Drosophila melanogaster: one gene and its partner. The protein of the gene in region 1 interacts with the protein of each later gene in a pairwise test. Each region holds a gene or a part of one and is shown on either strand. Other genes may lie near its edges.

The links.
Region 2: the proteins of CG3719 (region 1) and CG3065 interact in a two-hybrid assay, tested with the Drosophila melanogaster proteins (one large-scale study listed by BioGRID).

What each region holds. Positions count from the first base shown.
Region 1 is NC_004354.4:1,376,281-1,383,439, reverse strand, and holds CG3719 (uncharacterized protein), read left to right. Parts: upstream 1-2,959; 5' UTR 2,960-3,116; coding exon 3,117-3,302; intron 3,303-4,067; coding exon 4,068-4,364; 3' UTR 4,365-4,555; downstream 4,556-7,159. Other genes in the region: AMPKalpha (AMP-activated protein kinase alpha subunit), read right to left, coding at 5,275-6,744.
Region 2 is NT_033778.4:23,967,355-23,974,950, forward strand, and holds CG3065 (uncharacterized protein), read left to right. Parts: upstream 1-2,950; 5' UTR 2,951-3,340; coding exon 3,341-4,543; 3' UTR 4,544-4,879; downstream 4,880-7,596. Other genes in the region: CG34213 (uncharacterized protein), read right to left, coding at 1-108, 162-252, 304-338; or (orange), read left to right, coding at 666-734, 799-890, 952-1,154, 1,212-1,423; CG10904 (uncharacterized protein), read right to left, coding at 1,789-2,178, 2,242-2,652; mr (morula), read left to right, coding at 5,155-5,217, 5,279-5,795, 5,852-6,090, 6,166-6,346, 6,406-7,107, 7,159-7,422, 7,488-7,596.

The DNA of each region.
Region 1 (7,159 bases):
CGCCGCTGATGAAAATTGATGGGTGCGAGCGCACGGAAAACCATATTCCACTTTCGATTTCCCATTTTCCATTTCGGCGTTCCGCCCGTTCCCCGTCTTCCCAGTGGGCACGGACACGCTGGTGTGCGTGAGCTTTTGGAAACTCGAGACTAATGAGGTCGGCCACGTAGCCTCCCCCGCCTTCTTGCTCTGCTCCCCATGCCCCCTCCGCGACTTCCCTGCGCGGACGAAGTGCCCAATGGCATCCTTGAGCTGGCCTCTGCCACACCTGGCAAGATCAATTGCGACCTCAACTTCAGTTGTCCAATCGGAGTTCCGAGGACCGTTTGCCTGGGTCCGGCTGGGCTGCCAGAGGAGCCAATGGCCCCGGCCCGAAAGGAGACTGCCATGGGCCGGTCTTTGGAGGCAAATGCGTTGCGTTGGCAGCGTTTCTTGGCACCCAGTCGCCTCACCCTTCGCGCCTGACGCTGCGATTTGAGTTCAAATTTATTTTTGGCAGCATCGCCGCACCATCGTCCCCCTTGCCGCTCATCCTCTGCTCCGCTTTTTTCCGTTTTTCCGGGACTCAGGAGGCTGAGAAAGGGGGAGGCGTCGGATCGGGATCGGAATAGGAATAGGAATTGGGTTCAGAGGCCCGATCGCTTGGCTCCACCTCTGCCTGGTTGGCTCTGTTTGCGTTGCTTTATCTAGTTCTGGGGTGTGAGTGCGTGCCTGTGTTTAATATAGGCTTCCGCCCCTCCCCTGCCCTACTGGTTGTTTGTGTAATCCATTTAAAGGTAATTGAACTTCCCTCCCCACCTTCTGCAGGCACACAGCCCATCCCGACGCACTAAGCCGAAGTCGAAGTCGGGGCTCTATATTTAGCCAGTGGCGCAGTGGCATGGCCTGGCATGGGGCTGGAAATGCAGTCGGGAAAGCGGAGTGGGCACCGCCATCCAGGCACCAAGTGAACCTGCTCAAGACGAGCCCAAAATTAGATTCCACGGGGCGCTGCGCTGCTACTCGAAGTCGTGCCACGGCGATCTGGATGCGGATATAGATCACTGAAGATCAGATCAAATCGGATCGATTTGGATGGGATCGGATCGGATTGGATGCGATCAGATCAGATCGCAGCACATAGAAAATCGGCGATCGTAGTGGGAACTTGGAGAATGAGAAACGTTTCATTTTTGAAGCACACTTGGAAAAATGAGACGTTTGCTGGGCGAGCTATTGCTATTTTTAGGCAAAGGCATCACCATAAAAGTTGCCCCGCTCCCCTTTCCGTGCTCCAGCTTTTCCCATTTTCGTTTGTAGTTTTCCAATATTTCTCGAGGAACTGTTTTCGAATTAATCGAACAAGGCGAGTAGGCGCATAGAGTTATATAGAAGTTATAGAATATACATATGGGGCTGGTATAAAGTTAAGAGCTGCAGACTCACTTTCAAACAAAAAGCTTCGAATGGCAGTAACACATTCATTATGAATAACATACATACATATGTACATACATAGATATTGGCGAAGAAATACTTCGAAACTGTGTCTTTGGATCAGAAATTCATTTTCCTGTTTACCCCTCCTCCGCTCCACTCCTTTCGGTGGAATTTCATCATCGGCTTCGGTTCACCGTCAATCGATAACAGTTAAATCGAGAAAAGCGGAAAACAAAACACAAATAACAATAAACGTGCTTCGGCAGAAGGAAAGAGAAGAAAGAAAACTACGACACAATCAAGCGAGAGCTTTTCTTGAAGGATAAAGCTTTGGGCTGAGTGCGCACGTGTCTGATGTGTGAGTATGAGTGTGTGTGTGTGAGTGTGTGTGTGGAAAACGTGTGTTGATGACATAAATGCGAAATAAGAAGAAGGAAGACAAGAAGGCGCAAACAGCTGTGCCAAGGAATCCCTGCTTCCTGAAACAAGTAACGCCCGGGGGAGGGTGTGACTCGAAACGAATCCAATCCCGACACCAAAACCGCGTTTTCGATTTCCAAGCGCGCGCTCCTGGGGTGGAAAACGCGCACTCTCACACGCGACGGTCACAAGCACAAACACACAAACACACACACCTAAAGAGGAGAGAAAAGGAACAGAGCTTAAAACTTCAATTGGAATCTTGGACTGCGAATTTACTCCCGTCGCATCCTGACCGCATGAAACGCAACAACCTCGGCACCTCCACAGTGTTTTTCCAACATCACTTTTCCGCGCATATGCTCTGAGATTGACTTTCAACCTGTGCGCTTGTTTTCGAGTGGGTCGCACCAACATTAATAGTAATAGTTACACTGGCAGTGGCAGGACACTCGTGGCCGTTTCTCGACTTACCGCCCCCTGACCCGGAACTAAACAAAAAGTAGAAAAAAAAAGGAGCACTGCTCCGCACCGCACGCTCCGCGACCGATTTCAAATAACAATAAAATCGGCACGGCAAACAACAACGCAACGCAACACGACGCAACGGCAACGGCAACAACAACACTCTGCTTTCGGCGGCAACGCTGCTGAAACGGGCGAAGCGAACGCGCGACGTCAAATGTCAGATTTTGTTGTTGCGAGCAGCGAAATTCCCGTGCCAGAGAGCGTGAAAAGAGAGGGGAGAGCAGGGCGCCAAATTCAAACGGTTGGGCTCATCTGCTTCGAGTACGGAGTGCCGTTGCTGGAAACGTTCTTCGCTGCAGAAGACAGGGATAACGTTCAGGCACAGGGATAAAAATAAACATTATTTAAGGCAAGGAATTGGAATAGACGCAAAGCTCACCACATGACATACTCACATACAAAGTTGAAGAATAAGATAAGATACGCTTACACTGGATCCCTGGCGCGCAAATAATCCTCTTATTAGCGCAATATTTTAACACAATTCGAGTCTTCGAACTGTCATACAAGAAAAGTTGATTTCCAAGTGGTTTCAGTGCCCGCGAGGTGGCAACGCCGAGCCAGTGGCAGTGTTGTGCAGCGCTGGCCCAGAGTTTATAAACAAACATTAAACGCATACACATCACGTACGGAACAACCAGTTGGACATCCGAGACCCTGCCAGATATCTAATCGCTGCGAGAGTGCCTGTGTTACGCATCCGAATCCGCATACCCATCCGCCCCCGTACTGAATTTCCGCAATCCGCAATGCTGAAGATCGCCGCCGAGGGAATCGCGCCACGTCTGGCGGCGGCCTGTTGCTCCATTGGAGCGAAGAGCAGAGGCCAAAGAATGGCGCCCCAGGCGGCCAGGGGCACCCAGAAGTACCTGTCGCAGTCGCAGCACCTCCACAAAATGCTGGTCATCAAAGACCACTACGAGTTCGATCAGAAGGTGAGTCAGGATTATGCAACGAAACGGGTTGCGATGGCCAGGAACGGCAGCAGGCAACGATGACCTTGTGCGCTGGCCTACGTGCTTGGGTTTGGGATACTTGGGAGGAGCAAGGGGTGCAGGCAGGGGAAGGGGACGAATCCACCCCATGACGTACTTGGCCGTGGACCCGTCCATAGATACAAACATATGTGTGCGCACACTCGCCTCAGTTCTGTTTTCAATTTTGTTTTCGGCCTGTGCTCGTGTATGCAAATGAGCCCCAAAACATTGGATACCGGTTTAAACCCCTTTCAGCCAGCCGCTGCGTCCGCGAAGAAACGGGAGCCAGCTGCAGAAGACCCTTCAGCATATCGCTCCATGGCCGAGTTATCAATTGCAGTTGGATTAGGCGAGATAAGAGAAACGTGAGTCACACACACACACACATTTTGTAGCCTCCCAAGTGACCACCCCGCAATCTCAGAGTAGACGGAATTTAAAACTACTAATATAGCAGACACTGGCTACAATTGTATGAATCACTCACTATATGAAAACTGCAGTATTCTGCCGCAAATCAATCTCGATAGTCACCCCGGCAGCCGCAGGTCCATCTCCCCTTTTTAGCTATGACGTTATGCCTATAAGTGGCATAATCTGGCATACTCGACGTTGTGGTGACGTTATGGGGATGACAATGAGGTGTTTTGTTAGTTCCGAGCAAAGCACTCCAATTTTAAAGTCTGTTCAACCACCACCTATGTATTATGCCTTGTTCCGCAGGTGATCAACAGCGACAACCCGGTGATCGTGAACTTCCACGCCGAGTGGTGCGACCCCTGTAAGATACTCACGCCCAAGATGCTCGAGCTGCTTGAGAACTCGAACGAGATCGACCTGGCGGTCATCGATGTGGAGACGAACCTGGATCTCGTCGAGACCTTCGAGGTGAAGGCCGTGCCCGCTGTTCTGGCCTTCAGGAACGGCGTCGTAGTGGACAAGTTCATTGGTCTGGTCGACGCCAACAGCATCGAGACCCTAATCGACAAACTGAAGCGGAAGCAACAGCAGAAGCAGTAGTGAGCTGGAGCGGCGATGCGATGCACAGGTGGATTAGATCAGGGATGCTATGATTTTACACACGAAACGGGAGACTGGAACTGCGATATGAAGCCCAATGCCGAGGCAGAATTTGCAATCATCGATGCTGAAAGAATGTGCACAACATACCTTAATATGCAATAAAACTAACTTTAATTATGGCTACTCTTAATTCACACTTCGTCCACAATCGATTTAGAATATTAATGGATCGCTTTATTGTTTGGTTGGTTCAGATACAGATACATAAAACTTGGTCCACATCTGGTTGTTATCTGACAGCTTCCCCAGACGAGGTTCCAATTACAATTCGTTAGGCATAATACAAATACATCCACGTGCACATGCGGTTTGGATAATAACTCAACTTGCTTATAAACATAAATCGAAATAGAAACAGAACAGAACAGAAACGGATCGAAGCCCGCCGACCGGGCGGAACCTACAGACTTAGACTAACCGGAAGCGGAAATCGATACGGCAAAGCGGGTAACGGTAGCGTAGCGGCAACGGCGGTTGGCGGTGTCCGAGTTCAATAACATTTTATGTGGATTACACAGCCGCACAAAGAAAAGCTGGAGTCGGAGTCCCAAGCTCTTGTTCGTCGTCTAGTAGCAGGCCATTTTTAAAATCTATTCCCAAATCCTGCTACCGATAATTGCACATTGGGTTTCCGATTAAAATCAAAAGGGTTTGGGACGAATGCAAGAACTTAGTCATGTGGTTAAGGCCAGACTCCGGGATCCGCGGAGCCCGAAACTCCCCCCAGCTTTCCTTTGTGGGACTGTGTCTTCCGGGTAATGGTCAATCCTCAGGACTGTCCGAGTGCGGATCGCCAGCCGAGAAGATCCCATCCGGTCCGCTGCGGCCGATGGCGGTCACCTCATCCTTAGCGAGCCAGTTGAATGATCAGGGCGGCGCACATTTCGAAAAACTCCATGGTGTGGTGGCCGGTCGGCTGCAGCGGCATCACCCCGGACACGCTAAGCGGCGGCGGAGTAAGGCTCTCCATGATGACGTCGTCGCCCTGCTCGACCTCGTCGTTGGTCAGCGACTTGAAGTCGAGCAGATAGCTCTTGGCGTCCACCTGGTACAGCTGCAGTGACATCTTCGAGAACTTGCCGGTCTTCACGTTCTGCCTGCGCACCCGAACGTGGTACGGATTGATGATCTTCCACTCGTAGCTGAGTGCCTTCATCGCTCGGTATACCTCGAGCATTATGTCGTTGGGCTTGCTCTGCGACCGGATGCCCAGATGCCACTTGGCGCGCTTGATGGGAGTGCCGCCACGTGCGGTTTTCTCCGGGAAGGCTCCGCCGCCAGATGTCTGCACGGACATGGCCAGTTGACGGTCCCGCATCGGCGCAATCCGCTCCGGATGCGGTCGAATGGGTATGGTGCTGCTAGGCGTGCCTCCAGCCACTGGTGGCACTGGTGTGGCGGTGCCCGAGCTGGCTGAGGTACCTCCGCCAACGGTCACGGTGGCCAGAGGGGCTTGGTGGTCCATCGATGATTGGGGAACGGGCGGAGGCGGCGGCGGTGGTGGAGAGCCGGCCACAAAGAAGTTGTTGATCTCGTTTATTTGGTTGGCCGCGTCGTCGGCGAAGCGTTTGTTGTCGATGATCAGATGGTAAGCGATGGCCAGCTGATCGTGCGGATCGCCGCTGAGCAGCGAGTTGTGCACCTCGGTCTCCTTGACGCCGAACTTGGTGCAGACCTCTGCCACAGCGTAGGTGTCGATCACATTGGAGTCCTGCTCGATGGACGAGGGGAAGAGGTAGGCCGGGAGGTCCTTTTGGAACCACTCGTGCTTCTTGATTTCCTCGATGTTGGCCCGCTTGAGCGGGTCCACTTGCAGCATCTGACAGACCAGATTGACCACTTGTTTGTTGAGGTACTCGGGAATGGGGAAAATGCCCGACTTGATCTTGCGAAACAGCGTAGGCACATGCTCGTCGTCAAAGGGCAGCGTCCCGCACAGCAGGGCGTACAGGATGACGCCGCACGACCAGATGTCCACCTCGGGACCGGCGTACAGCTTGCCGGAAATCACCTCGGGCGCCGCGTAGTTGGGCGAGCCGCACGAGGTGCGCAGGAACTCGCCGTCCAGCATCATGTTCGAGAGCCCAAAGTCGGCGATCTTCACGTGCATGTTGTGGTCGAGCAGCAGGTTCTCTGGCTTCAGGTCTCGATGCACGATCATGTGCCGGTGGCAATAGTCCACGCCAGAGATAATCTGCTGAAAAAAGCGGCGCGCTTGGTGCTCCTGCAGCTTGCCGTGCTTCACAATATAGTCGAACAGCTCCCCGCCGCTCACGTACTCCATGATCATGAAGATGTCCGACGGCGTCGATATGACCTTCGGAGAGTTACGGAAAGGTTAGCAAGCACGTTTATATCAGCTGATGACTGCAGCCGTCCCTAGGTTCCCCCAAGCCCTGCCTAACCTAATTGGTAACTGATCCAATCCGAAAATCGAGGGAAAATGTGCTTGTAAAACCAAAGCAGACCCCGTACATATTCCTTTTATAAACTTTCCTTCCAAACTTTTTGCTCATTTAAGTTGGGCTTCTATGTCTGTTGCGAATGTCTAGCCAGTGGCCCAGTTTCTAGATATGCATTTGCCTTCCGCAACAAAATTCGGATGACTAGGCATGACCGTGTACTTTATAGATAAACAAACCTCCAAAATGTTGTTATAGAAAAGCTATTCCCCCTTCGGGCATATCCTGCCTTTTTGTTTATTAAACTGCGGCTTGATTGTTTGTTATTAG
Region 2 (7,596 bases), on another chromosome or scaffold:
CATGATCAGTTCGGATTTTTGGCCAGAGAATCCGCCTTGGAACTGGAAACTAAATCCAGCTACTTTCTGTGGCTCCTCCAAGCTAATGGTAATGAATTGGGGGGTTCCCTGAAATGGCCGTTTGGAGTTATATTCTTTTTTTCCAAATCTTAGGATGATACCTCATCTGAATTCCAAGAAGTTTCTTCCCGCGTATCAAACATGAATTGCTTTCCGTGCTGCTTCACATCTCTGTTTAAAACCGAGCTCACCCTGCAAACTATACGTTAACTAAAGGGAGTTACAAAATAAAACCCAGAGTACCTGCAGCTGTATTTTACTTTTGTCAAAATATTCATAATTCAATAAAAATAAGAAATAAACAAATCGGAGACCGCGAGGTTAAAGGCATTAGAGATGGGCAACAATCAGAAATCCATAGAATTTTTTTTTGTACGGATTTTTAACACCCGATTTAAGAAATTGCTTTAAAAAATATATTTTCCCTAACTTTCTAAAATATGCATGATTCTTATTAGATTTTTGAAATAAATACGTCAGATAAAGATATATCGATATTATAGATGCTATACCAAGTATTGATTTTGCAGCCCTCGTCGAAAAAGCAAAACAGCTGGCAGTTTAAACATTTTCATTTTTTTTGTTGACTTATCTTAGAAGTTGAGATGATAAAAGCCATTCTCGTTTTTAACAATCACGGGAAGCCGCGGCTATCGAAGTTCTATCAGTATTTCGTAAGTACTGCGACATATAATCCATATAATCTAGTTCATAATAAATTGTCACTATCATTTGTAGGATGAAAGCCTGCAGCAACAAATAATCAAAGAGACTTTCCAATTGGTGTCCAAGCGGGACGATAATGTTTGCAACTTTCTGGAGGGCGGAAGGTGAGCAATATTGTTCCCGCAAATTCCTGGAATATCTTAAAGCACCTCTTTCCTCCAACAGTTTGATTGGCGGATCGGATTACAAACTCATCTACAGACACTATGCCACGCTGTACTTCGTTTTCTGCGTGGACTCCTCGGAGAGCGAACTGGGAATCCTGGACCTGATTCAGGTGTTCGTGGAAACCCTCGACAAGTGCTTCGAAAACGTGTGTGAGCTGGACCTGATATTCCACGCCGATGCCGTCCACCACATCCTCTCAGGTTGGGAAAGCTACTTTGGCAATCCATTCAGATTCAGCTATCATGAATTCGTTTCAGAACTGGTAATGGGCGGAATGGTCCTGCAGACAAATATGAACGACATAATGGCCAGGATCGAGGAGCAGAACAAGATCGTCAAGCAGGAAGCGGGCATCTCGGCTGCACCTGCCCGAGCTGTGAGCGCCGTGAAGAGTATGAACATTCCGCAACAGATTAAAGACATCAAGCTACCTGATCTGCCGCAGGCCATTAAGGACTTTAAGTTCTGACAAATGTGCGTCTGATATAACTCTCTCGTCTAATTGTAATCTGTTGAATCTAGTGCTTTTTCGCAGTCCTTCATGAATTTCCAACAGCTGTCGACTGTTCCGTAATATTAGGTCCCACGTACTCTATATAACTCCCCTACCATAATAAAAATGCAAATGAATTACCAGTAGCGAGAACGAGCCTTACGATTTTGATAGCTTAACAATGCGAAGTTCAACCACTTCCGTTCTATATCGAATGGGGTTTAAAATGTACATACAAAGTGTCTTGCGATGACGTATTCGCATGATCTGTGTGCTGCATATATTAAAGATTTATACCTAAAACGGTGTCCGCTGTATTAAACATGTTCATAATTCTACAATCAACTGTTTGTAAGATCATCTTCTTCGCCGACTTCCAGCATAACTTGCATTATTTTCCGCTTCAGCCTCTTGCGCGAAACTTCAGAGTTCAGGTTACGGAATTCACTGGCGATTAGTTCGCCAAATGCGTCCCATTGATCACGACCACTTAATGGTAAGTGGAAGGGAGAGGGAGCAGCTGGAGCTTCGACAGTTCGATTTGGATCAACGAATTTGGAAGACGGCGCAGGTTCAGGAGGCATCGGAGGAATGGGTTCGCTGACCTTCGGAGGCTGACAGATTTCTGCATCGTTCTCTATGATCATGGATTCCAGACTTTCTATCGAGGATTGGCTCTGCTTTTCCACATCCTGATCCGGGTAGCACATGTCCAGCTTCGATACCAATTTCTACCAAAAACCAGGATAGATTGGTTAACTTATGGGCTAAAGATTTCGATTTAAGGAGCCCACCTTGCCCGGAGCACCTTGTTGATAGCCTGGTCGTGGTTCTATAACAGATCGTAGGAACATCAACGTCTTGAAGTGCTCCCATCGACAAGCCTTCTCCGAATCTCGATCTCCTCCAGACTCCTCGAGCCTCCTCTCCAACTTCTTGAGCTCTGCATTGAATTGATTGCGCAGGTTGTGCACCTTCTTGCCATAGTCGTGTTTCGTTATTTCAAGCGAAGCGCAGATGGATTCGATGGCTTTAGCCCTGCAATCCTTGTTTTTATATAGCTCGGAATAGTGGTTCCACAAGCAGTCCGACGAGCGGTAAAGTTCGATTAGCTTGGCGATCTTCTCCCGCGTCCAGATCGTCTGCTTCCTCCTCTGTCTTTTGGTCAGTTGCGTTTCGCCCAGCTCCTCGGATTTATTTGGCATCTCAGCAAACTAACAACAATATGTCAATATGCATCGAATCTTATTGCAGTGCACATTTGGGATGGGCGAGTCTGAACTATCGAAAGTAAACAGCAACGCAGTATTTTTTTTTAGTACTTTTTGAAAAAAAAAAGAAACGATGAATAGTTTTATGATCTATCAAACAAAATGTAATTCCATTGCGCTTTATATTGATTTCTTAATGTTAACTACACATTTAGTTTTAGATATTTAACTGTGCTAAACTAATAGCAATCAATAAATACAACATTGAAATCCGATATCTCCGTACACGCATTCAGTCGCATCTCTTGGTCCTATCGACTAGTCGATAATTCTCATCGCAATTAAATGGATATACTTCAGTATATAAATAAAATAAAGTAAAATAAGCAAATCCGCTGGAATATGCAAGCGCGCTAGCCGAAAACAATTGGAAAATGTGTGCGGGACGCCAGGACCGACTATAGACCGTTTTCCGAGCTGGCTATGGTGACAAGGGACCACAGAACTGATAAATCCTAGGCCGACGCCCACTGAACACAGTTTCCTGTACAGGAGTGTAGTTTTGGATAAACGCAATTTTGGTAATTAGGGAGCGGTAGGCGCGCAGCTGGCAGTAAAGTACCTCCACTCTCGATTCCAGACATACCGGATAGGGCGCTAGCGAGCCCCAAACGTAAGCACAATGTCACAAGTAATACCAAACACGCCCACACCCCAAATGCTGACGACATCAACGCCCATAGAACCCATGAAACCACCACCAGCGTTTCCCACGATGAGCGGCGCAAACATACACGAGCAGGCGTCCGATATGATACTGCGGGCCTCGACGATTTTCGAGGACGTCAAGCACGACGAGGCGAATGTGGAGAATGTGCCCCATCACGGAGTTGAGACTGAGCCTGAGGACGACTCGCACTACGGCGGGAACGGCAACTCTAAGATCCGCATAATGCCCAGTGTGAAGCTAATGGCCACGACGCTCGCCTCCGATCCCAAGCGCAAGTTCGTCTGCCCGTATGACAACTGTACAAAGAGCTACGGCAAGAGCTCCCACCTGCGGTCCCACCTCACCTGGCACACGGGCATCAAGCCCTTCGTCTGCAGCGAGCCCAAGTGCGGCAAGGGATTCACGCGCTCCGATGAGCTCAACCGGCACCTCCGGACGCACACCGGCGAGAAGCCCTTCGAGTGCATCCAGTGCACCAAGAAGTTTTCCCGCAGCGACCACCTCACCAAGCACCTAGCTACCCACGACCGCCAGCTAAAGGGCAGCACCCCGAAGCGAACAGTACCGAGCAGCAGTGGTGGAGTCCGGCTCAAGCCCCCGAAGAAGCAGATTCATTCGGAGTCGGACTCGGGCTTCCACTTCATGGCCGCCATGGTTGGTTGCGGGGAGCCGAGCATGAAGCACCACCACCAGCAGCAGCAGCATAACCAGCACCAGCAGCCCGTGAGCATTATCGACATCCACCACAAGCCGATAAAGATTAAGCTGGAACGGCCGGAGCACAGCGACAAGTACCAGATCGTATCTCCTGAACACCAGATGGATAACCATGGCCACAACCAGAGCCAGTTGCCCGATTTCCTTAACCAGGCGAAGCCCGAGGTAAAATACGAACCGACCGAAGAAATTGTAAATACCCTCTCTCAGCTACCGCCGGCGGACGGACCCGGCACGTATGGGATGCCCCAGTTCGTTCAGGATCGGCCTTTCTACTGCCGGCAGTGTGAGAAGCGGTTCAAGCGGCAGGACGACCTCAACCGACACATACGAACGCACACCGGGGAGAAGCCCTACGCCTGTCAGCAGTGCTGTCGCCGGTTTGTGCGGAGCGACCACTTGAAAAAGCATCAGCAGACGCATTTGAAGATACGATAGTTTCATAGTTACTCCTTACTCCTTAAGTCGCTAGCCATTGGCATCCGCATCCAATCGATATTGGCTACCACACGGGCGTGTGTCGGGTGACGCACACAGTACAATAAAATTAAATAAATTCGCAATCTAACTATATTCCTATGCAAGATCAGCGCCGGCTCTCAAATCTCAATTTGTATGTATGTATGTAAATAAGTCGTATGCAATTTAATTTTAGCTCTAACTGTTTGTGTTTGCCGGAACGTGAAGACATACATCTGTATTTCTGAAACTCTTGCTGTTTCTTATTTTCTGGCTACTAAGCTCCCCGTATCTATTAATATAATTTATTTTAGTAAAACTGTTATTTATATTTATGGGCTAATTGATGGGGAACTGATAGTTCATCAGGATCAGGACTCGATCCAGTTTGAAATTTGGAATATGATTAATAATGGCCTATAAGAATGAATAATAGATATATGTATAATTTCTGATAAATCAAAGATTCATCGACTATCGGTTCGGTTGATAGAATCGACTTATCGATAACAGCATTATCATCACCATTGGCGTTTGATTCAGAGTTTCAAGCAATGTTTTGCACTGTTTAAAATAATTACACACAAGCGATGTGCGACTTTGACGCTTTGTGGGCGGATGTACTGAGAATCTTTCCGGTTTTGGGTGGAGCGGTAGGTTTATTCCTTCGGTTCAGTAATAGGGATTGGCGCTAGCACTCAGAAACTCTTACAGAACGCTGTATCCAATGATCCGGTTGAGGAGAATGTATTCCAAAATGTTCGCCAGCACCTGATGGTGTTGGGCAGCATAGACACCTTCGCGGCGGTTGTGGACCTGGAAATCCAGTCGACTATTCGGAATGTCCTGGTGCCCAAGTTCTGGAAGCACATCCACGACGGCTTGGTCTCGTCTAAATTGCAGGGCTGGATTAACGACCAAGCTCTGGCCATAGAAGCACTGCCCGATAAGAACGGACTGTTCACCCAGTTCATCGACGCCATCAATGAGCTGCATGACAGCTTTCAGAGCCTGATGCAGGTGAAGCCCAGGCTGATCCAGCTAGTTGGAGCTGAGACAAAGCCCACCGCAAAGACGGTGAAGCTCATGCAGGAGGAAGGCATTAAGAACTGCTTAAGGGACTGCTTGCTGGCTCAACTGCCACCCAATTTCAGTGTGGTCGTTGGGGCCTTCTACTGGGTGCACTTTAAGCTCTTCACCAAGGCCTCAAATCTCGCATTGACCACAGTTGGTATGTATCCGATACATACTCCTGTGGTTCCCATGCTCACTTGCTTTCCCCTTCAGACTCTGATGTTTTCGATGAGCTCCTCTGCGTTGGCTGCAACTTCGAAGCAGAGCAATGCTGCTGCCAAAGGCTGACGGATATGGTTAACAAGACAAACATGAAGCTCTTCGAGATGAACCTCATTGACCGTCTAACTGGGAGTGCTTTAACCGCTCTCATCAAGCTTAAAATCAAGGAGCACATCAGCGATACATGCATGGGAATCTTCGACAGAAGTCATCTTAAGCAACTGGAAACTGTAAGTTGAATGGGAATACCTTCTGTTGTCATAAATAAACTACTTAAGTAACTCATTTATTACCTACCTTTGCAGTGGCTATCGGATGTCATAATGTCCTGGCTCACAAACATATTCACGGAATGGAAGTCTAAGGATAGCATAAGCGATATCGAAGTTCCCGAGTCTGTAAAATCCTTCAAAGTCAAACTGACTTACTTTATGTACGAAACGTTTGCCCAAAGCGTTATTGGTCAGTTCTTCAGCATTATAATTGGTATGTGCCCGTAGATTCAGCCAAGAGTCCCCCAACTACATGTATTTATTTGTAAACAGACTATCCCGATTCCATTCCGGCTATAGATGACTTAAAGATTTGCATGGAGAAAATAGATATGCGAGTCTACCTCACTGAATCCCTTAGGAACTCGCTAGAGGCAAGGATTCTGCATCCTGGAGTCAACACCATGGACATATTAACGGGTTACGTGGCAGCCATCAAAGCTATTCGCCATCTGGATAGTACCGGAGTCATCTTAGAGATGGTAACTGCTCCAATCAAAGATTACCTGCGGAAACGAAACGACACAGTGCGACGCGTAGTCACTGGGTTGACTGAAGAGGGGCCCACGGACTTATCCGAGGAACTCGCCAAGGGAGAAACAATTAAGGAATGCAAGGACTCGGGTACCGATGAGTTCAGCAACTGGGAAAATTGGCAACCCGATCCGTTTGGTATAGATGCCAGCATTATGCAGTACAACAGCTCGCGGAAGATGAGATCGGCCGACATTATATCGATGGTTGTAGACATATACGGCAGTAAGGAGTTGTTTATGACAGAGTATCGCAATCTAATGGCGGACAGACTGCTGGCCCAGTTAGATTTTAATTCCGAAAAAGAAATTCGAAATCTGGAACTGCTGAAAATCCGCTTTGGCGAATCGCTGCTGCACAGCTGCGAGGTGATGTTGAAAGACGTAACCGACTCCAAGCGAATTAACGCGCACATCCACAGCGATGGCGACCGAACTGAAAGTGAGTTACTTTTAATTTTCAAAATGCTTTAACGAAACCATCTCATTTTAGATCAGTTGTTCGACATCTCCTCGCTGATTGTTTCTGCTCAGTTTTGGCCGTCCTTCAATAAAGAAAGCCTCCAACTTCCTGAGGAGATTGAGAATGAGTTCAAGAAGTACACCAAGGCCTACGAGGCATACAAGGGCAACCGTACGCTCAACTGGCGTACAGTGACTGGCCGTGTAAATATTGAAATCGAGATCGGTGACCGGACCATGGAAATGGTTGTGAGCCCCATTTTGGCGGTTATTATATACCACTTTCAAACTAAGAGTACGTGTTTACAGGGCAGTCAAGTTTTACAGTTTTACAACCGCATGGTCATATTTTTTTTTCAGATGAATGGACTATCGAGGATCTTAGTTCCATTACGAAAGTTCCAGCGTCTGCACTGCGGCGTCGTCTGAGTTTTTGGCAAAACCACGGATTGATCTCGGAAACGACACC